Linked DNA regions of Macaca mulatta. The protein of the gene in region 6 interacts with the protein of the main gene of each other region in a pairwise test. Links are inferred from orthologs where the notes say so. Each region holds a gene or a part of one and is shown on either strand. Other genes may lie near its edges.

Region 1 (3,979 bases), on a different chromosome or scaffold from region 6:
CAGGGACAAGGCCATTGTTGAGGGAGACGGGGCCCCAGCCCTGGGCCACGCCAACGGGGCTACAGAGGGAACCCCGGCCCTTGAAAAGGAAACCTTTGAGCTCGAAGGTCTGGATACTGCTGCCGAGGAGGCCGGGGCCATGGAAGAGGGGGTCTCCAATGGCCACTGGGAAGCCTTTGCCCCCAGGCATGGCCACAGAATCCCCAGACAGGTAGATGGAGCCCTGGCCAATGACCAGAGCCCCATGGCTGCCGGTCACAGGGAGAGAGGCCTCCTGTGAAAGAGAGGCAGGGATTGCAGGGCTCTCAGCGATGGGCACCTGGTCATTGCTGGCGCGCACAAGGGAGAACGGGATGGCGATGACACCACCACCCTTGCCGAGGTCATCGCCGGAGGTGGGCAGCTGTTTGCCCCTGGAGACGGCGCCGGTGCCACCCCAGGCCGTGGCAGGGAAGTTGCCTGTCGTGGTGTTGGTGCTCCAGGCAGGGTCTGGGGCCTTCTGAAGGAAACAGACCCCCAGCTCGCAGGCCTCACAGCAGCCCTCGTAGGCCTCCCTGGGGTGCCGGGTTGGGCCGAGGCCATCCCCGTAGCAGTCCTGCAGGATGTGCAAGACCAGCCTGCTGAGGAAGGGCCGCTCGCCTGGGGGCCTCACCTGGCAGTCCCCGGGCGCAGGGCACAGCTTGCACCGCTGGCCCCAGATGCGCATCTTCACCAGCCCCCGGCGGCCGGCCCTGTCCCACCACAGGTGGAAAAGGACATGCACGTGGGCCGAGTCCCAGGTCCCCGGACAGCGACTGCACTGGAGCCTGCGGGGGAAAGAGGTGCATGTGAGTGCAGCAGAAGGAGGCCCCACGGCCGGGCCTCGCGCTCTGTTCTGTGGCCTCCTTGCCCATCCGACCCCAGCGCCTCGCTGCCCCCTGCCTCGCATCCCACACTCAAACCCCAAACCTCAAACCTCACCCGCCAGCCACCCAGGGCCACGGCCAAGGCGGCCCAGCACCTGCTCCTGCCTGTGCTGAGGTTCTGAAACCACCAGCCCCTTGGCCACACGGGCAAACGCAGGCCCATGCACGCTAGCTTGCAACCCCCTCATCTGGAGCGCTGTTCTCAGCAAAGCAAACCTCCTCTCAGCAGTTTTGCAGCAAAACCCGCTCTGGCCTGGCCTCTGTGAGGTGTCGGCCACCTGCCGCCCGCGTGGCTCTGCTGGTGTTTTGTGAGTTGGGGTTAACACAGGAAGAGGCAGGCCAGCTGACACACTTAGAAGGGGAAAAGCATGCATCTGGGGGCTGTCCCTGGGGGCTCAGCAAGGGGGGTCCCTGTCCTGACTGAGAGGAGGTGATCCCCCCGTCACCTGCCAGCTGAGGGAAAGGGCGTCACTGAGGCCTGCGGTCATGGCCCAGGCAGCCCTGCTGGGCGTCGCCAGGCGAGGGGAGATTTGGGGAGAGCACTGGGAGAGACTGGCTTGTCCACAGCAGTCACCAGACCGGTGACCATTTGCTAACCACACAAGCAGCTGTGAGCTTCAGGGAACCCTGCATGAATGAGAGGCTCTGCTTCAGTTCCACGCAGTGGAACTTTCTGGATGACAGAATGTTCTATAGCCACACTGCCCCACCTGCAGCCGGCAGCCACACTGGCCACAGAGCCCGTGGACACGGTCGTGCTGGAGGAACTGAACTGCTGACTGTATTTAAATGGGACTGAGGAGCCTGCCAAAGCCACAGGCGCTGGGGCTCATGTTGGGGCACCCGTCCTCAGTTCTCTTCCGCCAGCTGGGAGCCACTCAGAGCCATCTCCGCCTGGCTGTGGGAACGGTGATGTGCTTCCAAGCACTTCTCAGACCCCAACATGGGTTATTACTTTCCCAACTTCTGAAAAAGCTGGGATTCTGCACACACCTGGCCCCAGGGGTCTCAGGCACTAAGGGGCTGTGTCCAAGGGCAGGATGACTCCCCCTTTGCCCAGGGCATCTCCACAGAGGGACTGACCAGCCGGCAGCCTGGGGGCCTGTCAGGCCGGGCGTCTGCGAGGCTGTGGAGCTGCCCTGCGCCCCTCCCGGCTGGCTCCTGGCAGAGCTGTGGATGCCTTGCCGGGTAGAGAAGCAGATGGGGCCCACCCTGTTGTGCTGACGGCACCACGACCATGACGATGGCCCGTGAGGCTCACATGTGACTCACAGCCACCCCGGGCCCCCGATCAGGGCCGAGCACCCCACCGTCTGCAGCGCAGGGCTGGATGGTGACCACAGGCACCGGCACGCCCCAGGGCCCACCTGTCAGCACAGACAGCTTCGAGGCCACGGCACTGCCATGGAAACAGGAGATAAGCCTGTGTCCAAGGGCAGCGCTGGCCTGAGGAGCCGAGTGAGGGAAACCAAACCCTCCACGAGGCACCCGCCATGTCTTCCCCGGGACCCCTGCGTCAGCAGCCGTGTGCCCAGCATGGCGAGGCAGAGGCTCAGAGGGGAGAAAGAAGGAGCACCCAGTCCCCCCTCCCGTCTCAGGGACAAGAAGAGGCCCGACAGCCCCACCCAGCCTCTGGGACCACCCAAAGTCCTGTGGAAAAGCACCTTCAGCCCCCTCCCTCTCCCAGGGTCCCCAGCCTCTGGCCGCACCTCGAGAGCCCCACCAGCAGGTACTGGACGCCACCGCCGTCCAGGCGTCCTGGGACCAGGCTGTGCTCAGGTAGCAGAACCCAGACGTCCTGGGGTTTCCTCTCGGCCATGGCCAGGGTGAAGGTGCTGGCCCACATGTCTGCCCCAGCCCCGTCCATGCTGCCGCCTGGCTCCGCAGTGCGGGCTGAGGGCTGCGCCCGCCGGGGGCCCAAGGAAGCATCCCTGCATCCGGCGCCGGCCAATCAGCCACCTTGACAACAGCACGGTCTCCATGGCAACCAGATTTGTCTCCAAGAAATGGGAAGCAGAAAGGAAAAATACAATACAATGCAATCTCCCATGACCCCGCCACCCAGAGAGCATCCCTGTGGCAGCAGCACCGTGGGGGCGGCAGCACCGTGGGGGCGGTAGCACCGTGGGGGGCCCGTGGACACGCAGGGGCCTCCCCAGACCTGTGCGTGTAGAGGCCCAGGTGTTTCCACACATCGCTCTAAGGAATCATCCCCAGCCCTCTCTTTCTACTGCGCACCAGGAACGGTGGCCCACACTCATCCCTTGCTGAACACTTCGTATTTGTCCAGCTTGTGGCTGTCATGTAACTTACTCACTCAGCTTCTCTCTGCAAACAGCACTAACGCTTTTCACACAAACAAAGCTGAGAAGAACTTTATAGAACGTGTATCACTGCAGATTGTCCCGTGGGTGTATTCTCTTAAACGTTTTACTAGTGAGAAATATAAAATATTTACGTAAAATGCCTAAAACATAAATGCAGAGTTTCACAAATTATTCTAAAGTCTTAGTCACCACCTCCCAGAGGAAGAAAGAGAACCTCGCTCTGCCAGCCTCCAGAGCCGACTGCCTGTTCGCTCCCGATTTCAGCCCGCGGCCCCACCCCCACCCTGGCAGAGGTGCCACCAGCCTGGCCGTGCCTGCACGGACCACGATGAGGCTTCAACACCTGTGATGCCTCCCTCACCGAGCCCTTTAGCTGTGCAGCTTCTGAGCTTCACGTAAACACCCCATGTGTGTGCCCAGCTTCTCACACCTTTTCAGGTTAGTTTGTGAGATTCAGTGGCATTGCTGTGCATGGCAGCCACCTGTCAGGGCACAACAAGAAAGGGTGAGCTGAGAAGGAGCTGGGACGTGCAGGGGCGGAGGCAGCCGGCGATCCCTACAAAAGCTCAGCACAGATCTGCCCCCGGGAGCCTCCAGGCCGCCCGGCTCTCCTCACAGCTCCCATCTCACCATCTCTCTGCTCTGCACACTGAACAATCTCTTCTCATTTTTCTACCACTTCACGCATTATCTCCTCGTCTCTGTCCACTCTGCAGCTCACGCTGGCAAGTGAGTGCATGTTGTCAT
Region 2 (3,741 bases), on a different chromosome or scaffold from region 6:
GGAGAATGGCGTAAACCCGGGAGGCGAGCTTGCAGTGAGCTGAGATCCGGCCACTGCACTCCAGCCTGGGCGACAGAGCCAGACTCCATCTCAAAAAAAAAAAAAAAGAAAATTGGAGGGAGGAAAGGAGTGGGTGGCTTTGGAGATGTTCTGAAATATGAGAATGAGAGGAGTGGAGGGGTCCTGGAGGCTCTGGGGAAGGCCAAGCCCGTTTTCCTGTCTTCCAACCCCTTTTAGGAAAATTACGGGCAGAAGGAGGCTGAGAAAGTGGCCCGGGTGAAGGCACTATATGAGGAGCTGGATCTGCAGGCTGTGTTCTTGCAATATGAGGAGGACAGTTACAGCCACATTATGGCTCTCATTGAACAGTACGCAGCGCCCCTGCCCCCAGCCATCTTTCTGGGGCTTGCGCGCAAAATCTACAAGCGGAAAAAGTGACCTAGAGATTGCAAGGATGGGGAGAGGAGGCTCTCAATAAATAATTGTGTAACCTTTTTGTGGTTCTGTTCTTGCTCGGCGCAGCCAGAGTCTGGCTCTTTCCAGAATGTGCGGGGTGGGGTGCTGGGAGGACTCGCTGCACAGAAGCGGGACCCAGGGGCCTTGGCATCAGGGCCAAAAGCTTGGGATACATCAAACCCGCTAGGTGGGTGACACAAGACGCTAAGCGCTGGGGGCGGGTCTGAGCTACGCCACGCCCATGCGCGAAGGGGTGCAGATGCGCTGCGCAGAGTGGGTTGTGCTAGTGCCCCTCCCCTCCCGCTCTGTGCCCCGCCGGGCGGGGACCGTGGGAGCCGAGGACAAGCCCAAGGCCGGAGCGGTTCCAGGAGGACCCTGGTGAGGAGGGCTCGGCCCATGGGTGTAGGCCGATGGACCAGGGCACGAGGGGCGGGGCAGGACAAGGGAGCAGGAGAAATGAATAGAGAAGGGGTGCGGTGGTGACTGAACGATGGAGACGAATGCGGAGAGAATGGACATACCGCTGTTCTGAGGGGCGAGGGCGCAGGCTGGAGCCCGGCGGAGGCAGCCAGCAGATGTGGAGTTGACGAGCTGACGGCTGCTCCATCCTTTTCCTCTCCAGCTCCCACCCCTTTCCTGCATTCACCAGGCAAACTCTGCATATCGACCCACCCCCATCCCCCGCCTCCTTTCAGGGCATCTGGGTGGGTCTCCCTGGGTCCCTTCCTGTGGGAGTAAGGGGTAGGCAGGAGGGCAGGGCCAGATTGCGGCAGCAGGGACCCGGAGGTCCATTCTGGGCCCGGACCTCTTCCGGGCCCCCGCCCCCCTTCGGAAATCCAGAGCGCAGCCGCGTTCTCTGACCCTCCCGGCTCCATTCCCGGAGGGTTACATTCGACTCCACCTGCAAACACTGCAGTGGAAACTAATGGCCAGTCGATTGCGATTTGCATCTCATTGAAATATCTTCCAAAGCAGCCAGAGCCTTCAGGCCTGCTGCTGCCGTCAGTCACCTCAGTGTCCTTCCCGCAGCTCCTGTCCTCACTGGCTGGGCTTCGCCACCCCTGTCTTCTAGGTCTGCACCTGTGGTTGCCAGGTAGGTGGATGTGAGAGACCCTACCCTCCTGGTTCTCTAGAAGCCATCCCATCGCCGCTGGCACCATGCTGTCTCCTCAGAGAGCTTTACTCTGCAACCTCAATCACATCCATCTCCAGCACGTCTCCCTGGGCCTGCACTTGTCCCGCCGTCCTGAGCTACGGGAAGGGCCCTTGAGCACATCCCCTCCCCCAGGAGACACTGGGGGCAAGGAGAGCAGGGGCCCCTGCAGTGGCACCCTGGTGGACGCCAATTCCAACAGCCCAGCTGTGCCCTGCCGGTGCTGCCAGGAGCACGGTCCGGGCCTAGAAAACCGGCAGGACCCATCACAGGAGGAAGAGGGGGCTGCCTCTCCCTCAGACCCAGGCTGCTCTTCCTCGCTCAGCTCCTGCTCAGATCTTAGCCCCGATGAGTCCCCCGTCTCAGTCTACTTGCGGGACCTCCCTGGTGATGAGGATGCCCACCCTCAGCCCAGTATCATCCCCCTGGAGCAAGGTTCCCCACTGGCTTCAGCAGGCCCTGGCACCTGCTCACCGGACAGCTTCTGCTGCTCTCCTGATTCCTGCTCCGGAGCTTCTTCTTCACCCGATCCTGGCCTGGACTCGAACTGCAACGCCCTGACCACCTGCCAGGACCTCCCTTCCCCAGGCTTGGAGGAAGAGGATGAGAGCGCGGAGCAGGATCTCCCTACCTCTGAGCTCTTAGAGGCGGATGATGGGAAAATCGACGCTGGGAAAACGGAGCCCAGTTGGAAGATTAACCCAATTTGGAAAATTGACACAGAGAAAACTAAAGCTGAATGGAAAAACACGGAAAACAGTAACACTGGTTGGAAAAACAACGGGAATGTTAACTCTAGCTGGAAAAATGAACCTGAAAAATTCGACTCTGGTTGGAAAACCAACACAAGAATAACTGATTCTGGCTCGAAAACAGATGCAGGGAAAATTGATGGAGGATGGAGAAGTGACGTCAGCGAGGAGCCGGTGCCCCACCGGACAATCACGTCCTTCCACGAGCTGGCCCAGAAGCGCAAGCGGGGCCCAGGGCTGCCCCTCGTCCCGCAGGCCAAGAAAGATCGCAGTGACTGGCTCATAGTCTTCTCGCCCGACACCGAGCTGCCCCCCTCGGGGTCGCTGGGCGGCTCCTCGGCACCTCCTCGGGAAGTCACCACCTTCAAGGAACTCCGGTCCCGAAGCCGGGCCCCACCCCCGCCAGTCCCGCCTCGAGACCCCCCAGCTGGCTGGGCTTTGGTCCCGCCCCGGCCCCCACCCCCGCCTGTCCCTCCCCGAAGGAAGAAGAACCGACCTGGACTGCAGCCCATAGCGGAGGGGCAGTCCGAGGAGGGCCGGGCTGTCAGCCCAGCGGCTGGCGAGGAGGCCCCAGCCGCGAAGGAGCCGGGAGAGCCGGGCGCGCAGGCCGGCCTGGAGGGTAAGAGGTCGCAAGAAGCGGGAGGAGGGCTGGGCTTCGGCCGCTCACGCCTCCTAGGCTTCCAACCCGGCCCCCTGTCTTCCCTCCATTCTGTGTCACCCATCCTCCCCGCCCCTTCTACCAGGGAGCGCTCCGGGAAAGGGAAACTGGGTGGGTCATTGGGATATGGGACTAACTCTTTGCTCCCTCTTCTTCCCGCCCCTCCTTGCCTGGCTGCCCATCCCGCTGCCCTCCTTCCCTCTGCGCCTGGCCCCGCCAATCCCGCCTGCAGCCGGTCCCCTCCTGCTCCCTCGGCCCCTGGTTTTCCGGTTCTCGGCCGACGGGCGCCCCCTGTTGGAGGGTGGGGGCGCAGGCGCAGCTGGGTCTCTGCTCCTGGCTCCTCTGGCAGGGTGGCCTGGCGCTGGGCTGCGGCTGCTGGGGGCGCCGAGCCCCCCAGAGGAGCAGCTGCTGCCCGTCCGCCTGTCCCCAGTGGGAGCCTATTCGCCTCCGACTCGGGGAGCCTTGCCCTGCCTGGCCAGCCCCGAGCTGGCACTGCTGCTGTCCCCGCTCTTTCCCAGAAGTAGCACCTTCCCCGCCGCGGCTCCCCCACCCCGCCAGGTACCCGCCCCCCCGCTGCCACCGCAACCTCGTCCGCCGAAGGCCCCTCGCTGGACCAGGAGCCCATCGCCTCCGCCCAGGCTACGTAAGACGGACCCGGGCAAGCCCCGCGGGCCACGCCTCAGGCGGGCCGCCCCGCCCGCTCCAAGGCCCCTCCCACTATC
Region 3 (3,500 bases), on a different chromosome or scaffold from region 6:
CCAGCTGGCCTGGCCTGCCAGCCCCTCCCTCGGGCCTCACAGCTGCCCTCTCTCCCCGCAGGCTGGAGCAGCCCTACTTCAGCGCCAACGCCCAGTTCTTCCAGGCGCTGAGCCAGTGCCCCTCGCTACAGCGCCTGTGCCTGGTCTCCCGCAGCGGCACCCTCCAGCCCGATGCCGTGCTGGCCTTCATGGCTCGCTGCCTACACGTCGTCATGTGCCACCTGTTCACCGGGGAGTCCCTTGCCACCTGCAAGAGCCTGCAGCAGTCGCTTCTCCGCAGGTGAGTGATATGGGTTGCGTACAGCTTCAGGGGCTGCAGACATCACCAGCATCCCATGACCTGGTCCCCAGCCCTCACCGAGTGCCTACCAGGGATTTCTTGGAATCGACAAGCACCAGGCAGTGACAGGGTGAAAGCAAGGGGTTTGGTCTCCCACGCGTGGCCCGACCTCTCCTTGAGCACTCCCTAGCCATGTGGTAAATTTTCTAGATAGTTCAAGCTCTCCTCTCCCACAAGTACAAAAGTCTTCTTCTTTCTTCTTCTTCGAGTCTGAGTCTCACTGTGTTGCCCAGGCTGGAGGGTAGTGGCGAAATCTCGGCTCACTACAACCTTTGCCTCCTGGGTTGAAGCGATTCTCCTGCCTCGGCTTCCCAAGTAGCTGGGACTACAGGCGTGTGCCACCAGTGTGTATTTTGTATTTTAGTAAAGACATATTGGTTCACCATGTTGGTCAGGCCGGTCTCGAACTCCCGACCTCAGGTGATCTGCCTGCCCCGGCCTCCCAAAGTGCTGGGATTACAGGCGTGAGCCACCGCGCCCGGCCTGCAACCATCTTTTAACTCTGGATTTTTCACATCTCTGCACGTTGTTTAGATCTAGAAGCAGTGGTTACTTGGGCAGTTGTGGGTAAAAGCGGTAGATTTAACAGAGAACCCTTCCTTCTCCCTCTCCTCGCCACCCTTTCTGGAAGGCCCACGTGCTCTGGCCCCTCTTCCCTGAGCTAGCTAGCATCTCCACTTCCCCTCGTGACAGGGCGTCCTGGAGTTTGATGCTCTGCTGCTGAGCAGGAACTCAGGTGAGCACCTAGAATTGAACACAAGTCAGGAGGAGGCGATTCCTGGAGAGAGCTAGAGCTTCGCAGGCGGTCTGGGGAGTGACGCATTTAAAGACCTCTCAGGAGGACGGGCTGAGTGCTGAAGTGAGCAGGGCTCCGGAGAGAGGCGTGCGCCCGGCCAAGGGGGCAGCAGGACATGAATGCCCTGAGTGTTCGTGTCCCTGCAGGTGGGGAGAGGTGACAGGAAGGAGGCCCCAGCTGTTCACAGAGTTGCGAGAAGAGCCACCAGCCAGGAGGTCTCGAGCCATTGGGTCCCGACAGCCCTGCTGGCCAGACTCTGGAGCAGTCTGTTGGCCTTGCGGTTTGCCGCTGGCTTTCTCAGGAATAACCCTGGTTGGGGTTTCCCCCTCTCTGGTTGTAAAAACAACTTGTGTTTATAGTACTTTTTAAAAATTTAGACTATGCATCAACCTTTTTTTTTTTTTGGAGAGAGTCTCACTCTGTCGTCCAGGCTGGAGTACAGTGGCGGGACCTCAGCTCACTGCAACCTCTGCTTTCTGGGTTCAAGCGATTCTTCTGCCTCAACCTCCTGAGCAGCTGGGATTACAAGTGTGCACCACTATACCTGGCTAATTTTTGTATTTTTGTATTTATTTATTTATTTTTCAGAGACAGAATCTTGCTCTGTCGCCCAGGCTGGAATGCAGTGGCGCGATCTTGGCTCACTGCAAGCTCCCCCTCCCGGGTTCACGCCATTCTCCTGCCTCAGCCTCCCGAGTAGCTGGGACTACAGGTGCCACCTGGGACTACACTGCCACCACGCCTGGCTAATATTTTGTATTTTTTTTAGTAGAGACGGGGTTTCACTGTGTTGGCCAGGATGGTCTCGATCTCCTGACCTTGTGATCCACCTGCCTTGACCTCCCAAAGTGCTGGGATTACAGGCGTGAGCCACCACACCCGGCCTAATTTTTGTATTTTTAGTAGAGACGGGGTTTCACCATGTTGCCCAGGCTGGTCTCGAACTCCTGATCTTAGGTGATCCACTCACCTCGGCCTCCCAAGGTGCTGGGATTACAGGTATGGCCAACATCAACCTATTTTTAAGTGAAGGTTTCCCAACAGTGAAAGCTGCCAATTTTCCCTGGAGAATCAGCTGGAGATAGGGTTCTCATGTTGTTTTGTAATCTGATTTTTAAAAATGTAGCACTACACCATAGAGTCTTCTTGTGTCAGTAAATAAAGCCCGAAGTGATTGTTCTCAGTGCTGGCCTGATGGCCCTCAATTGGGTGTCTGGGTGGTCAGCCCTGGCTCATGGCTCTTATGGAAAACACGGTCACTGTGTCCTTGACTTTGCTTTGGATCTTGTCTTTGCCTGCAGTGGAACCAGCGGGGCAACCTGGGTGGTGGCCAGAATGTTTCAGTTTAGCCCCTTGGCTCTGCTTCCTCACACCTTAGCATCGTTGTGCTGTGAGCTGGATGTGACGCCTGCTGATGTGTGCCCCCTTTTAGGAGGGCTGAGTGGGTCACAGGCTCCAAAGGGCTTAGCCGAGTGGGCTTGGGGACAGGCGGTAGCTGTTGGGGGAAGGGGCACACTGTGCTCTGTGAGGCTGTGGTACCCAGAGGCCAAAGCTGGGTTTTCTCAGGTGTGGCTGATGCAGGCAGCTCTGCCCTGTCAGCTGCGGGAGGAGCCTCGGGCCTTCTTCCCCAATACGCTTGCAGCTGGACTCCACTCACAGGCCCTCCAGCCAGTGGGAGGCTGCGACTGTGCACCCAGAGCTGCCACCTCCTGCGTAGGTGTGTTTTGTTGAAGGGACTTGGGAGTGGGTGTTGCCTGTCTTCTGTGGCCTGTGAGTCTGGGGCCCTAAGACCCAGCCCATGTGGGGCCGTCTCAGCTCTGCAGGGGTGTGGCTTTTCCTGCAGCGATGGGGACTGGCTCTGGGAGTTCTCTGTTTCCCTGCTGCAGCGGAGAACATCCACAATCCCCAAGCAGTTCAGGACGGCTGCGCTCATGACGGGGCGGCCCCCGGCCCCACCCTCGAAGGCTTCCTGCTCCGATGAGCCTGCTTTTCCTTCTGGTCCTCAGAATCCTCTCTGCATGGCGCTGCAGGTGGGTTGGTTGGACGTGGCACCGGATGCCAGCCCCTGCTTTGAGCTGCTCTCCTCCATTTACCTACTGCCTGTGGCCGGCTCCGGGAGCTTCTCCTCTGGCCTCCTGGGTTGACCTGCACCTGCGTGTTTCTTAGGCAAGTCTGATGATCTAAGGTGGATGCAGGAAGCTCTTTACGTTCTCCGGTTGGACGGTCTGTTTTTTGAAGGCTGGTGCTCCATAGCTCTTCTTTGGTGTTTTTGTGTCCTCAGGCACAAGCTGAGCCCGGCGCTGAGCTCGCAGGTGGCCCCAGAGGGCGCTGGTTACACACAGGTGCCTGGGAGAGCCCTTGATC
Region 4 (4,019 bases), on a different chromosome or scaffold from region 6:
TTAACTACCCTATGCAATTCAATTCAGGTTCACCCGGGCGGACTTTAAGAGGGTAAGTCAAGCCTTCCCAAGGGGTTTTGAAAAAGCCAAACTACCAGGTTTCTAAAACGAAGTCTTCACCCAAATGGACTCATAGATTTTTATTTTTATCGCATAACCCAGGGCTGGAATATAACCTCCGAAATCAAACTAAAAATAATCACGTCTACCTGATACACGTTAAAAAGATTCAGAATCCAGACATTTTAGGTTCATACATAAACCCTCAATATTAAGCAAATCAGAAACAATGTTCTAGCTTTGTTTTTTTCACCCAAAAGTATCGAAAGGGTACAGTGGGTACAACTTGTTTAGGATAATACATGTACTAAAAAGCACATGCATGTCTTTCATTGAAATGCCTAGGGAGGAGTGAAGCCATCTGTGTAATCAATAACAGGATAGTTATAGATTTTTGTGGCAGTGAAGTCTTTTAAAAGCAAGAGTCAATTATGAAAATAAAATCATTTTACAAATGAAACTGTACCTGTACCCCCTAAGAATACATTCACAGTTAGATTTACAACAGTACAATTTTAAGAAAACTTTAGGTTTATATTTACTTCCCTTGTTTTTCATTAAGTTTGAAACAATTTTAGTAGCTTATTTTAAAAGTATATCCTACTAAGTTCTACGACATATAAATTTGCACCATTTCTCACAACTTAGATATTTTCTCTCTCGTAACTAGTTAATTCTTGCAACGATAAAATAATGTATTAAATATATGTGAATCTTAATTATGAAATAATTATCAAACAAGGTGCTTGGACTAGTTTTTGCCCTGCCCTGTTTTTCAACAGCATATCGAAATTACTAAAAAGAGATTTATGGTTATAAACCCTCACCTTATATCCACTCCAACCCCCACTGGTGCACATATACAGCGATTGCTCTGATTCTTGGCAACAATGGGAGGGGAGGGGAAGAGAAAGGAGTAAGACTTTAAAGGAGGAAAAAACCTGGAAAAATTAGGTCCTTTCCCAGATTCCCCTGTCTCCTCCCACTTGCCTTCAAGCCAAAGTAATTTTGTTACAGTTTTCACCTTCTCCTACACAATGTTGATAGATTCATTTAAAAAAAAAAAAAAAAAAAAGTGAGCCTTTCTGAACCACTGCTACTCTCCCTCGCGTTATTCCAGCCATCTCCAGGAGAGTCCCTTCTATATAAACTCTTTTTCTTCTTTGCTACTGATAAGAGAGGAGGATAAAGAGGAAGGGCTGTAAAATGTGTGCATGTATTTGACTTCCATTATCTCCTCCTATTTTCCTACTTCTCTCTTTACCCTCTTTCTTTATCAAGTGCAGTGGTGGCTGCTACCGTTCGCCAAGCCTGCCTGTCTTCTCTCTCGGATTGGCTAAAGCACTGACAGCTCGGATAGCGATTGTAGGAACTGAAGCTCCACCCCCTCATGATGGCCCTGGGACCATTCATAAACTAAATAACTCCAGGAAACAGCGAGGGAGAGAGAGAAAGAAAGAGAGAGGGAGAGAGGGAGAGAGAAAGGAGAGAAGAGAGAGCGAGCACGAGGAAGGGGGGAGGGGGAGACAAGCAGGGGAGTGCGGGGCGAGAAAGAGGTCGGAGGGGAAAGGAGGGGGAGAGACGACTCAGAAAGTGGAATCTGTACAAGCAACCTAAAGAAGGAAAACCCTGAATCGTTATAACTACACCCCAGATGCAACGCAAGCAACGACTTCGTCACACTAAAACGGATTTTGTGAGGGCCAAAAGTATAAATTACGAAGCAGAAATGATTATCAAACAACTTCCAGCGGTTTGCACCTAAAGAAATACAAGAAGAACCCACTACAAACAAACCAACCCAGTCCAAACAACGCCTCCAGTAGGAAAAGAGGAAAACTGCGACAACACGACCCCCTGAGAAGAGAGGAGACCAACACGCTGAGACTGCGAGGCGTCAGCAAACCTCCAAGTGCACGGCGGACTGAGTTGTACTTCGCAGCTCTCTGAACATTAATTACCTCCTGCACCTTCCACTTGGGGGAGGGTGAGGAAGACGGCACTCACCTACACTGAGCGAAGAAGTCCTAGCAGCGTGGAAGAAAAGTTTAAGAATGAACCACTGAATGTTTCGCTTTTATTTTTAAATTTACTTTGGCACTTAAAAAACTTCATTTTCAGATTTCTGGGCAATCTCGGCTGCAGACATCTAAGCCTAACCTTTTGGTATCCTGAGTTTTTTTCTTTTTCCTTCTCCTTCCTCACCCCCACCCCGCTTCTCTCGCACACGGTCTTTACATATCAAGAGAAAGCAAAAAGGTCCCAGGAGGTGCTTTTCTTTTTAGAAAATCATATTTTCTCCCCTAATTTTTCTGCAGAAGAAAAAAGGTTTAGAAAGAGGGAAAAGGAAAAAACAAGCCGGCTACAGTATCAGCCGGTCAGCCCAGGTGGAAAACAAGAGTGAAAGTGGGGCTTAACGGGGAGCGCACCGCCTCTTTCGAAAGCCGCTGGGCCACCACCAGTGCGTGAGCCTTGGATCCCTCAACGTATTGCGAGACGCCGGTGTATAGCCCGGACCTGTGCCCCAACATGATTGCCGCTCAGGCCAAGCTGGTTTACCAGCTCAATAAATACTACACTGAGCGCTGCCAGGCGCGCAAGGCGGCCATCGCCAAAACCATTCGAGAGGTCTGTAAGGTGGTCTCGGACGTGCTCAAGGAAGTGGAGGTGCAGGAGCCTCGCTTCATCAGCTCCTTGAGCGAGATCGATGCCCGCTACGAGGGGCTTGAGGTCATTTCGCCCACCGAATTTGAGGTGGTGCTCTACCTAAACCAGATGGGCGTCTTCAACTTCGTGGACGACGGCTCGCTGCCGGGCTGCGCGGTGCTCAAACTGAGCGATGGGCGGAAGCGCAGCATGTCTCTCTGGGTCGAGTTCATCACAGCGTCGGGCTATCTCTCAGCGCGTAAGATCCGCTCGCGTTTCCAGACGCTGGTGGCCCAGGCGGTGGACAAGTGCAGCTATCGGGATGTGGTCAAGATGATTGCGGACACCAGCGAGGTCAAGTTGCGCATCAGAGAGCGCTATGTGGTGCAAATCACTCCGGCGTTCAAGTGCACCGGGATCTGGCCTCGAAGCGCGGCACAGTGGCCTATGCCCCACATCCCCTGGCCCGGCCCCAATAGGGTGGCCGAGGTCAAGGCCGAAGGGTTCAACTTGCTCTCGAAGGAGTGCTACTCGCTGACCGGCAAGCAGAGCTCGGCAGAGAGCGACGCCTGGGTGCTACAGTTCGGAGAGGCGGAGAACCGCCTGCTGATGGGAGGCTGCCGAAACAAGTGCCTCTCAGTGCTGAAGACTCTGCGGGACCGCCACCTGGAGCTACCCGGCCAGCCGCTCAATAACTACCACATGAAGACGCTGCTGCTGTACGAGTGCGAGAAACACCCGCGAGAAACGGACTGGGACGAGTCGTGCCTGGGCGACCGGCTCAACGGCATCCTGCTGCAGCTCATCTCCTGCCTGCAGTGCCGCCGCTGCCCTCACTACTTTCTGCCCAACCTCGACCTCTTTCAGGGCAAGCCCCATTCGGCCCTGGAGAGCGCTGCCAAGCAGACCTGGAGGTTGGCCAGGGAAATTCTCACCAATCCCAAAAGCCTGGACAAACTATAGGGTGCTGGGGACTGCTTGAAAAGCGACACAAACAGGCGTGCTCTCTCAGACACACAACACACAACTCAGCGATAAACAGCAGAAACTCTGGACACAAACTTTTATGTAAGTCACCTGAAATAGGAATCAGGCAGAAGACCTTCGTTAATTAAGAAGCAAACAAAAAGAGAGCAACCCAACCAAAAGATATCACATTCTTGCACAAAAGTGATCGTTTTCTTCCAAACAATGTGAATTTAAAAGGTCACACAAAAGAAGCAATCGGGCTGTGCCACCACAAAATGAAACCCAAGGTACATTTTCAAATCAATGTATAGTAGTTTCCCCCTTTTCCTTCTTTCCCCCTATCC
Region 5 (2,207 bases), about 53 Mb from region 6:
TCTCAGGAAACTGGGCATATAAAGTCATTATGAATCAGAGCAGTGGTTGGCAAATGAGAGCCTGTGGATCAAATCCGACCTGCCACCTGTTTTTATATAAGCCATGCTTATTTGTGCCTCTGTTGTCTGTGACTGCTTTCACACTACAAACAGCAGAGTTGAGTAGTTGGGACAGAGATAGATTTTGCCTACTGTCTGGCCTTTTAAAAGAAAGTTTGCGGACTCCTAATCTAGGGCATTGCTGAGCTGAGAACCTTGTCACTGGGGGAGAGTATGAGCCAGTGTATAATCATAAATTTCATTGTCCTGGAGTGGGATTTTTTTGAGAGTGGAGGTTGCTGACAAGGGAGAGCACTGTACTTTGTGCCAAGTTCTTGCCTTTCTCCTGCAGCAAAGAGAAAGTTCTTTGTTTGGAGTATTAAAGATGCAGCCAGCTTAACTCAAAGGACGTAGTTAATCGTTATTAGAATTGAATGTTAAAGGAGTCCTCAGTTTACTGACTGCAGAGATTGAGTTATGAAAATAGACACCTGGCCCAGCTTTATTTCTTTTATTTCCTTTGATTTCAGGGAAAAGAGAAGTCACCTTTGGACCCTCGACCTAGTTTTGTCTTTGCCCCGGTAAGTATTACTTCTACCTGTCCCACCACACAGATCTGAACTCAGGTGTGGCCAGAAAAAGTAAGATGGTAAAGCTAAGCCACTCTCCACTACTTTGTGTTCCTATCCAGTTCCTACCTAATGATTCTCCTGGCTCTTCCTACCCACTGTTCCTGTCCTCCATTCTCCCTGGCCCCTTTTGACTCTATTATTCTTAGTTTTTAAGTTTTGTGATTGATGGCTCTTTTGTCTTACCTCACTTTTTTATGTGTTCACAGTGTCCCCATGAACTCCCTTGTCCCCAGTTGACAACCTCTAGGCCACTGGCGTGTAGCTTCTCACAGGCGTACCATCCCATCCCCTTCCGCTGGGTAGGTACCTGGGGATATTGCAGCAGGAAGCAAACATCTTGGAAAAAACAGGAAGAAAAAGAGTCAGAGTTAGGAGGCGTTGGATAATTCACAGAATAGCCTAGAGACTTTAGGGCCTACATGTATATGATTTACACATTGTAAAAAAGGACTGCAGGAATGGGGAAGAAGGGGCTTGACAAACTTTTTTCCCATATGTTTTTCTTCTAAACAGTCTCTATGTTCCTTATCTTAGAACAAGAAACCAAAGGAAGAAAAGTTCTCTATGGTGATCCTTGCTCGGGGGTCTCCAGAGGAGGCTAATCGCTGGCCCCGTATCACTCAGCCTGTCCTTAGACGACCTCGCCATGTGCATTGTCACTTGTGCTGTCCAGATGGGCATATGCAGCATGCTGTGATCACAGCCCGCCGGCATGGCAGGTATAGGGGGTGTGACCAAAATTAGTGGGATGTGGCAAGAACCTGCAGCCCACATTAACGTCTCATTTCCATAGGGATTTGTATCGTTGTGCCCGTGTCAGCTCCTGGGGAGATCTTTTACCTGTGCTTACTCCGTCTGCGTTTCCTCCATCCACTGCTCAAGATCCCTCTGAGAGTTGACAAGGATGTCTAACAAGTATTTTCTTCTATCATGCCTGCCAGGGCTGACACTACCTGGTATCCAGGAGGGGACTGCTGGTATCCCCATATGTCTGTGTTTGTTTGAGATTTTTAATAATAAATAATAAATTTTTAAAGAATTGAAGTGGATTTTGTGATTCTTAAAAAGTGTAGAAGCTGGGCACAGTGGCATGTGCCTGCATTTCCAGTCACTCAGGAAGCTGAGGCAAGAGGATCATTTGAGCCCAGGTGTTAAGGCTGCAGTGAGCTGTGATTGTACCACTGCACTCCAGCCTAGGTGACAGAGCAAGATCTCCTCTCTTTAAAAAAAAAAAAAAAAAAAAAGTAAAAGGTATAGTTAATTATCCTGGTCTATCCTGTAATGAAGAGCTTCCTCAGATTTTTGATGCCAAGCTTCCCACACAAATCTCAAGCTCGCCTTCTCCTATTGTGGCAGTTCAGATCTCCATAAGCTCTTCGCTGTAATGATGAATGTGTAAGCTGATCATTAAAGCAGAAGTAGAAAAACCAGATTTCTATAAGCCCTTTGCTATAATGATGAATGTACAAGTTAAACATAAAAGCAGAAGCAAGAAAAATGTATAATGAATTGGGGGAACCTGGTGCCTGAGTATGA
Region 6 (4,151 bases):
CAGTGACCTAACCTCTTTCTTCTCATGTGCCAGATGTTAAGATGAAGGAGGAATACAACACATGCTCAAGCCTCAGCTGTTTAGTTGTTTTCACTGGGGCTCGCTTTTCTGGGACGGTATTTATTATCAGACTGGCAAGCCTAACTCCATAGGTTTACAGGAAGTAGGGATATTTTTATAAAACAATTGTGTCCTCCCCACATTTTGCTATGTTAATATTTGCCTCTAACAATTTGCAGCTGTTTCACTTTTTCCTCATTTGTCTCTAAGTTGAAGGCCTTGTTGGAGGGGACAGAGCACAGGAACAGCCTTGACAGTCTGTAATTATTGTACAAATATTTTAATAGCATATAAATAAGTATATTCCTTTTATTTTGAAACAAAAATGATCAGACACTGCCTTTTGTGTGTTTGCTGCCTGTGGCACCCTTTTTGAAAAAGACTGTTACATATTAAAATAGTGTACATACATATAAATATTACCTCTTTTGCTGTACAGTTGTGATAGAGACTGAAGATTTTATTTTTTGTGTGCTTTTTATAAGAAAAAATTAATACACTAAAGAATCTTGCTGATGTGATTGTAATGTACCTATGTAACTTATTTACTTTTGAATGTTCTTCTGTATCTTTAAACCTTTTATTAAATAAGGTTTTAAAAATTCAGAGTTGAATGCTATGTTCTCTCGGGATTTTCACCATCTGGGGTTGATGTAAGTGGGCCTTGTCTTGCTTGCAGGGAGATTACTCGACATTTTTGAGCCATAAGGATTCTCTTTTAGCAGCCTATTGTCGATGCCAGCCAGGAAAAGGAAAATAACACTAATGTTTGCCTGGCTAAAAGATGACTCAGTAGACACAGACAAACAGATGTTTACAAAAGTTTAGACAAGAAAAAGTCTAAACTCAGTATCTCACACAAAAAATGGCGCACTCCGGCTTCATTGGGATAAAATACGCAGGGTGCACAGTGTGGTCAGGGGTAACGGGAAGCCAGGGTTCTGAGGAGAGTATTTTCACGTGCAGGGTGGACTGGCTGGGCAACCCGAGTAGACAAGTCCACCATGAGGGATGCCATGACTTCCAATAGTATCATCTTAAATCCACTCCAGGATTGGGTTATTATTTTTAAAACACGGTGCTTAGCAGTATTTGTTTGCTGTTAAAATGGAAAATTATGAAAAAGGAAATGCGCCATCAGAGAAACAAATGCCCGAGCCCCTCGCTGGCACCATGGCAACCGCTCGACCCCCGCGGGCCGCCGGAGCAGGCGTGATTCGCGCCAGCTGGGGCGCCGTTGCCATGGCGACGCCCGAGCGGCTCCGCCACAGGGGCGGGACGGGGCGGGGCTGACGCCGCTCGCGGGCTGGCCCCATCCTCCACTGCAGCAGTAACGTCGCAGCGGGTTGCGGGTAGGACTCGACGCTGGGGCAGCCGCGCAGCGCCTGAGCCGCTGCAGGCCGCCGCGGCCGCCGCTGCCCACCCTTGCCTGTGCTGTTTCCAGCCTCGCTTCTCCGGCTTTCCTGCTCCTCTGCTGCCTTCGTTTCTGGTCCTCGGCCGTCCTCGCCGCCCGCCCAGAGGAGTCCCCGCGCCCGCCAAGAGGAGTCCCCACGCCCTCCAAGAAGCCGCTCTCCGCTGGCCCGCAGCCGCCGCGACTTCGGCACAGTCTCTCCCTCTGGCTAGTCTCCCAAACGGCCGCTCCTCGCCCGCGGGAAGACCAGGCTGCGACCGCGAACGCCCGATCCTCTCCAGGAGCCGCAGCGAGCGCCCGGCGGGCACGCCCCGCGACCACACCCCGGCTGCTTTCGACCCAGCGCGCCTGCCTTCGCCGCCCGCCCTCGCTCCTTGCCCGCTGCACGACGACGCGACAGCCCGGCTGCAAGCGGCAGACCCGACCGGACCCGGACCCAGACGCAAGATGGCGACGGCCGCGTGACTTCCTCAGCGTCCCCGAGCTCAGCTCCAAGTGTACCTACGGACTGACTGGGGGGGCAGAGAAGGGCGAGATCAGGACTCTGTGTCTTTGTTAGTCGTGAATGCATGAAGCCTACCTCCCTTGGGCCTACTTGGTGGGAGTGTCTGGTATTGTTCTAAGGCCAGGAGTACGGTGAGCCACAGTCTGTTGGTAGAATTGGCGTCTTGATAGTTGAGAAAATGGCGATGACACTGTTGGAAGACTGGTGCCGGGGGATGGATGTGAACTCCCAGAGAGCTCTGTTGGTCTGGGGCATCCCAGTGAACTGTGATGAGGCTGAAATCGAAGAGACCCTCCAGGCAGCGATGCCCCAGGTCCCCTACCGAATGCTTGGGAGAATGTTCTGGAGGGAAGAAAATGCGAAAGCAGCCTTATTAGAGCTCACTGGCGCTGTCGATTACGCCGCGATCCCCAGGGAGATGCCGGGCAAAGGAGGGGTCTGGAAAGTGTTGTTTAAGCCCCCAACTTCTGATGCTGAATTTTTAGAAAGATTGCACCTCTTCCTAGCTAGAGAGGGGTGGACCGTGCAAGATGTTGCCCGTGTCCTTGGGTTTCAGAACCCTACTCCGACCCCGGGCCCAGAGATGCCAGCAGAGATGCTAAACTATATTTTGGATAATGTTATTCAGCCTCTTGTTGAGTCCATATGGTACAAGAGGCTGACACTTTTCTCGGGGAGGGACATCCCAGGGCCTGGAGAGGAAACCTTTGATCCCTGGCTGGAGCACACTAATGAGGTCCTAGAGGAGTGGCAGGTGTCCGATGTAGAAAAGAGGCGGCGGTTGATGGAGAGCCTTAGAGGCCCTGCCGCTGATGTCATTCGCATCCTCAAGTCCAACAACCCCGCGATAACCACTGCCGAATGCCTGAAGGCGCTTGAGCAGGTGTTTGGGAGCGTTGAGAGCTCTAGGGATGCCCAGATCAAATTTCTGAACACTTATCAGAACCCGGGAGAAAAATTGTCTGCTTATGTCATTCGTCTGGAGCCTCTGCTACAGAAGGTGGTAGAGAAGGGGGCCATTGATAAAGATAACGTGAACCAGGCCCGCCTAGAGCAGGTCATTGCTGGGGCCAACCACAGCGGGGCCATCCGAAGGCAGCTGTGGCTTACCGGGGCTGGGGAAGGGCCGGCCCCAAACCTCTTTCAGTTGCTGGTGCAGATCCGTGAGGAGGAAGCCAAGGAGGAGGAGGAGGAGGCTGAGGCCACCCTTCTGCAGTTAGGCCTGGAAGGGCACTTCTGAGTGCCAGAAAAGACAGCTTTAGTGCAGACCTAGATCACAGCTAGTTTTCTTGTCCCTGTGGGGGTCTTACAGATGTGTCTCTGAGTAGTAAAGGCTTAGCCCTGTTCCGTTTTGTTGTTTTTTTGGAGGGGAAGGTTAGTCAGGCCTGAGTATTCATGTAACATTCTAAAATTGTGCAAGCGAGCACCGTGAGCTGCTACAATGCAAGTGGGTCTTGCTGGCTAAAGTGCCAGGTAAAGGGTTGGTTGGACACAGCGCTTAGTGCACGCTGTCATCATGGACATCATAATCAGTTGTGAAAAACACACGAACCTCTGACACTTCCTATTCCACACTGAATGTGAAATTGCATGTGCAGATGTTTACTACGGGGCCTGGCTCACAGGAAGTGTTCAGTAAAAGTATGAACTATTAGATTACTGATAGCGCAGATAGATTTTTCTTTACCATAAATAGTTCCAGATTTATATTGATGGAAGGAAATGTGCATTTATTAGCTATTACTCAACTTTACAATGCAAACATCATATTTCTCATCTTTAAACATGTCGATCAGTTTAATTGAAAAGTATTCTGAGACTGCAAAATGGGGTGTTAAAAAAATACTGCAATTACGGAGCTGTGTAAACCAGTTTCTCATTGCATAAGATACAGATGTAAATTGCATGGAGAGGTTGATATGCACCTGTACAGTAATTCACTTCCCCATTTCAGATCTTTGTCAGAGAATAGTTCTTGTTCATACTGAGTGTTCTAAATTTGAAGTTATATATACAAATTAAAATATTTTAAAAATTCTGTTGTCTTCTCATTTTTCTGGCATGTATAAACATTTTTAGCCTAAGTAAACTCTGTCCTTTTTTCTTATGAAGACTTTGTCATTAAACCATTTATTTTACTCTTAAGCTTTGTATGATACTATGTGAATTTAAATG
Region 7 (4,104 bases), on a different chromosome or scaffold from region 6:
AGTGAGATGTCTGTTCAGTTACCACATTTGGGGTGTCACTTCACCCCAAGAGACCTTTCAGCCCTTCAGTCTAGTCCCAGTACACCCTGCCTTGATCACAAACTTGTGTCTCTAGACCACATGGCAGCAGGCATGTGTGTCTGTGTAGAAATCTCCCCCTCTGTTACCACCACACACCACAAATATGGGTCTGCACTTAGAGCCACAAACAGGCAGCACACTCCAATTCACACGCAACGCAATTGCAACCATTTATCAACTCCAGCCTATGGACAGGGGAGCGCCAGGGGCTCACAGATAACTTATGGTTGCAATAGTCTCTCTCCTTTTCGGCTCCTGCTCAGCTCACAGTTTGGCTAACACAAGTTCAGGGAAATTGGGGAGTAAAATTGCTCCAGTCCCAAGGTGGGGAGCCAGGGGTGATGTGGAGGTAAAAGGAAGCCCTTCACAGCACACCTAGCCTTAACTGGTCCTATGTGGGGGCTGGAGGGGAGAAGAGGGTAACTGAGTGGAAGAGAGGAAACAAAAATATATACAGGCTTCTCTTCTTCTTACCCTCTCTCCCCCTGCTCTGGAACTCAAAAAAGTTGCCAAATAAAGCTAAGCCAATTAAAAATAATAGCCACCAGCTACTAGCTTCCTTCTCCCCAAGTGAAAAACACTGGATTTTTTTTATATATAAAAAATTTGGTTCATCCTACACTAAGTACCCTGTCTTACCAATTTGCAGTGCTATTTCCTTAATGTGATTGCCTGGGATGGGACCCGCAGCCGCATTAAATATGAAAGAGGGAAAAAACTGTTAATAATTGATTCTAGCCAAATGGCTGCCTTGCAATAATGGGCTTTTCAGGGAGAGTTTGGGGTTTTAGGGTGGTGGGTCGGTTTGGGAGTGTGCGGGGAGAGTTGGGGAAGAATGTCTTCCCCAAATGCCAGCTCTTAGGATTCCACCTGGCGGGTTGGAGGTGACAGGACCCTGCAGGGAATGGAGCAGCTCTTTACTCTCCAGCAGGCAAGGATGCACTAAAGAGCCCTGGGGCCACTCCGTCAATGGGAAACCTAGCAGGGCAAGGAGAGACGAAAAAATCCCTACTTCCCAAAAAGAGTAAGAAACGAGGACTTGATTCACCAGCCTGCGAGTCATTGTTTGGGGCTGAGTTCCCTCGCCGAAGGGCCCTTCTCAACCTTAAAAATAAGTAATAGGAGAACCCTCTCTTCTCACCTAGTAGCACCTCCTGGAAATCAGCCAGACTTGGCGTTCTGACTGGGGTGCTTTTGAGGAGTGGGAGGTGATGGGAAACTACCCATAAACGGTAAAGTTCTCCGCCTCTCTGCAACCCTCTCTTCCCCCACCCCTCCTCTCCCCGGGATGTCCCGATATTCGGAAGCGATTCCCCGACTCCCCAAGAGGCGGACAGCCCGGGCTGGGGCTAGGGAGCCCCGCAGAGAGCAGCGGGGTGGAGGAAGGACCGCAGAAAAGGAAGCGGCAGCCCCGGCGAAGATGCCGAGGAGGAGAGGGGCCACCAGAGGGAAGGCTCCCGGGGAGGGGCCGGCGCATCCGGGGAGGGGGCTCAGTCACCGCGTCCTGGGCTTCCCCCGCCCCTCCCGGCGCCGGTTGCGGACTCTGAGCGGCTACAGCACGAGATCTGCTAGGAACAATTCTCCGCCAAGCTGTTGCATCGCAAATAAAATCCTAATGAGCCCCCTCCCCCTTCCCCTTGGCCGGCTTTTACGGTCTGCGCGTGGAGCGGGGAGCTCTGCCAGCCGCACGGTCCCGGGCAGCCCAGTGCGCTCCGGCCCTTGCCCTCGCCGGCTCTCCGCCTTGCTGGCCGCTGGCCCTCGGCCCCACCAGCTCCTCTCCCGGCCGTCGCCGGTCTCTGGCCGGGCTTTCAGCTGGGGCCTCCGGGAGACAGGGGAAAGAGGGCCGAGAGAGCTGCAAGTCGATCCCAGAGCCCCTGTTCCCCGCACTACTTGAAGAAGTGGGGGCAGCGCTCCTCTGGCGGCCTCAGTCTCCCCTTCCAGAGCACGCAGCTTTCCCCCTTCCCTCCGACTTTCCTTCCTCTCCCCTCCTCCCGGCCCGCTCTCCGGCCACCGCCGCAGTTTCCCTTCACATGGTCGGCAGTTTATTGCCTTTCCCCTCCCCGCCCCCTCCTGGCCTTCGGCCTGGGTATTTCCTCACTTTTTATAACTTACTTTGATCCGGCCTCTCTTTGTCCTCGCTTCCTTCGCAAATTTTATTGTCCCCGTAGCCGGGTCTTTGATTAGACAGCACGGCCTCCCTGCCCGCCGAAGTTTCCAAACTGTACTCGGGCGTGCCCTGTTTAAGCAGCTCCCCAGGCGCGCCCAGCAGCGGCTCCGCCTTCACCGCCGCCTGGCCCTGCCCCGGGGTCGCTTCGCCGCGCGGCGCCGGCTCCAGCCAGGTGCGGAGGTACCTGCTCTCGGCCGGCGGGACGCCCTGGGGCTGGATGTAAGGGTGGTAGACCGACGGCAGGCTCCCGGACGCGTGCGGGCTCAGCGGCGCCCAGGAGGCGCCGAACACCGGCGCTTTGGGCTGGAAGCTGCACGAGGGGAACTCCAGGTGCTCCGCGTGGCCCGGCTGCCGCGGGCTCGCGTACTGGCCAGAAGGAAACTTGGCTGGAGGCGCGTCCTCACTCTCGTGACTTATGATCGAGTCGACATAATAGCTGCTAAGCGTCCCAGAAATGGACATTCTCAGACATTATCCGGGCGCTCGCAGGGGGAAGGGAAGCGCTCGCGCGGCGGCGCCCAAGCAGGGAGAGGTGGCACCCGGACCGGTGTGAGGGCTTTCGGACGCGACCCCCCCAGCCCCCCACCCTCCCACCCCCACCCCCTGCTCAACTTCTCAGCCAACAAAGTACAGTGGAGCAGCCAGGCTCAGCGCTCCTTGCAAAATGATTGGTCAAAGTTTTTCCGACTGCCTGATAAAGCGTCAGCTCCGACATAAATCAATCGGGCGAGGGGGCTGCGCTCTCGCTGTCATCCGTCCGCACCGCATTCCATATCGAGGATGGATTGTTTTATGCTGATGCAATGTGCTATCACGTCAGGGCTCCGGCGGCCACGTAACCTCAGCCTGAGCTGCCGGCTGCCCGGTCCCCCCTCCCGCTGCAGGAAGGGGGGCAGTTCTCGACATGGGGCGGCGGGGGCGGAGGAGAGGCGGAGGGAAGCGGCGGGCTGCCTCGGGAGGGACGCAGGCTGTGGAGCCCTCTCCCCAGGCGGGTCGGGGAGGGAGGGAGAGCAAGGGCGGAGGGAGGGAGAGAGCCCCAGCCCGGGGAGCAGCCACAGAGGCCCGAGAGGATACTGGAAGAGGAGGTGGTCCTGTCCCCCCCAACACACACCTCCACCTCCACCCCACAGGCCCTCATTTCCTCTTCTCTGTCCCCTTGACAGAAGATGTTTATTAAACAACAGCAGCAGCAGCAATCCACAGGAGATGAAGTAAAAGGATGAGGGGAAAAGTTGGGGATTTTAGGACGTTGTCCGCTTTGGAGGGGGCTCTCTGTGCACTATTTGTAGAGATTTACATGACTGGGAGCTTCCCTGGACCCCTCAGTAGCTGAGGGAAGAGGAGAGAGGTGAATAAAACGGCTGAGTGTCCAAGAATCCACTATTTGTCCTGAAATTAGAAACTGCTTGAGGTTAAAGGGATCCATCAGGCCCCGGAAACGTGAGCCTAGGAAAGAGTTTAATACAAGGAACCAGAGCGCCTTTACATTTATTGGGCCTTTCTGACTCTGGCCAGAAGGATGGATTTAAGATGGTGGTGGTGAGGTGGGGGCGGCAGGGGGGGGGGAATTGCCATTTCTCCTTTTCTCCACTGAATAACTGAATAACCACCCAGGCCCCTAAAATTGCCCTGATGAAGGAGCTGAATAGCAGAAAGGGTTAAGGACACTCCCCTGAGGTGTCACCAGAGTAGAGGCCTGGGAAAGGATCCCCAGTCAGCAAGGGAAGGGGTCCCAAGTTATCTCCCCTTCCATCCAAAGAGGAAGGAGCCTGGGCTGAGTTTTCAGCCCTCCTGTATCACTCCTCTCACCCAGGGCTCCTGCTCTGGAGACTTCCAAACACCGATATAGGGGCCAG

The links.
Region 1: the proteins of PNMA1 (region 6) and RTP5 interact in binary tests that used the Homo sapiens proteins (3 or more experiments, as listed by UniProt). The two-hybrid records come from large-scale screens. The link is inferred for Macaca mulatta from reciprocal best matches to the Homo sapiens genes PNMA1 and RTP5.
Region 2: the proteins of PNMA1 (region 6) and RUSC1 interact in binary tests that used the Homo sapiens proteins (3 or more experiments, as listed by UniProt). The two-hybrid records come from large-scale screens. The link is inferred for Macaca mulatta from reciprocal best matches to the Homo sapiens genes PNMA1 and RUSC1.
Region 3: the proteins of PNMA1 (region 6) and FBXL18 interact in a two-hybrid assay, tested with the Homo sapiens proteins (2 studies listed by BioGRID). The two-hybrid records come from large-scale screens. The link is inferred for Macaca mulatta from reciprocal best matches to the Homo sapiens genes PNMA1 and FBXL18.
Region 4: the proteins of PNMA1 (region 6) and MAB21L2 interact in binary tests that used the Homo sapiens proteins (3 or more experiments, as listed by UniProt). The two-hybrid records come from large-scale screens. The link is inferred for Macaca mulatta from reciprocal best matches to the Homo sapiens genes PNMA1 and MAB21L2.
Region 5: the proteins of PNMA1 (region 6) and METTL17 interact in binary tests that used the Homo sapiens proteins (3 or more experiments, as listed by UniProt). The link is inferred for Macaca mulatta from reciprocal best matches to the Homo sapiens genes PNMA1 and METTL17.
Region 7: the proteins of PNMA1 (region 6) and HOXB9 interact in binary tests that used the Homo sapiens proteins (3 or more experiments, as listed by UniProt). The two-hybrid records come from large-scale screens. The link is inferred for Macaca mulatta from reciprocal best matches to the Homo sapiens genes PNMA1 and HOXB9.

The regions. Positions count from the first base shown.
Region 1 is NC_133417.1:147,150,780-147,154,758, reverse strand, and holds the start of RTP5 (receptor-transporting protein 5), read right to left. Parts: upstream 2,801-3,979; 5' UTR 2,773-2,800; coding exon 2,615-2,772; intron 2,499-2,614; exon of another isoform or gene 1,280-2,498; coding exon of another isoform or gene 1,122-1,279; intron 1,105-1,121; exon of another isoform or gene 961-1,104; intron 807-960; coding exon 1-806.
Region 2 is NC_133406.1:111,658,952-111,662,692, reverse strand, and holds the start of RUSC1 (AP-4 complex accessory subunit RUSC1), read left to right. Parts: upstream 1-1,485; 5' UTR 1,486-1,614; coding exon 1,615-2,980; exon of another isoform or gene 2,981-3,251; coding exon 3,252-3,662; exon of another isoform or gene 3,663-3,741. Other genes in the region: FDPS (farnesyl pyrophosphate synthase), read left to right, coding at 238-438; putative uncharacterized protein RUSC1-AS1, read right to left, coding at 420-1,406. UniProt on the Homo sapiens protein: Associates with the adapter-like complex 4 (AP-4) and may therefore play a role in vesicular trafficking of proteins at the trans-Golgi network. Signaling adapter which plays a role in neuronal differentiation.
Region 3 is NC_133408.1:43,703,223-43,706,722, reverse strand, and holds part of FBXL18 (F-box/LRR-repeat protein 18), read left to right. Parts: intron 1-61; coding exon 62-280; intron 281-3,500. UniProt on the Homo sapiens protein: Substrate-recognition component of the SCF (SKP1-CUL1-F-box protein)-type E3 ubiquitin ligase complex.
Region 4 is NC_133410.1:159,159,355-159,163,373, forward strand, and holds the start of MAB21L2 (protein mab-21-like 2), read left to right. Parts: upstream 1-1,219; 5' UTR 1,220-2,589; coding exon 2,590-3,669; 3' UTR 3,670-4,019. UniProt on the Homo sapiens protein: Required for several aspects of embryonic development including normal development of the eye.
Region 5 is NC_133412.1:93,845,111-93,847,317, forward strand, and holds the end of METTL17 (ribosome assembly protein METTL17, mitochondrial), read left to right. Parts: intron 1-569; coding exon 570-620; intron 621-867; exon of another isoform or gene 868-877; coding exon 878-970; exon of another isoform or gene 971-1,007; intron 1,008-1,205; coding exon 1,206-1,390; intron 1,391-1,464; coding exon 1,465-1,570; 3' UTR 1,571-1,707; downstream 1,708-2,207. UniProt on the Homo sapiens protein: Mitochondrial ribosome (mitoribosome) assembly factor. Binds at the interface of the head and body domains of the mitochondrial small ribosomal subunit (mt-SSU), occluding the mRNA channel and preventing compaction of the head domain towards the body.
Region 6 is NC_133412.1:146,883,643-146,887,793, reverse strand, and holds PNMA1 (paraneoplastic antigen Ma1), read left to right. Parts: upstream 1-1,351; 5' UTR 1,352-2,154; coding exon 2,155-3,216; 3' UTR 3,217-4,022; downstream 4,023-4,151.
Region 7 is NC_133421.1:61,383,614-61,387,717, reverse strand, and holds the start of HOXB9 (homeobox protein Hox-B9), read right to left. Parts: upstream 2,801-4,104; 5' UTR 2,711-2,800; coding exon 2,194-2,710; intron 1-2,193. UniProt on the Homo sapiens protein: Sequence-specific transcription factor which is part of a developmental regulatory system that provides cells with specific positional identities on the anterior-posterior axis.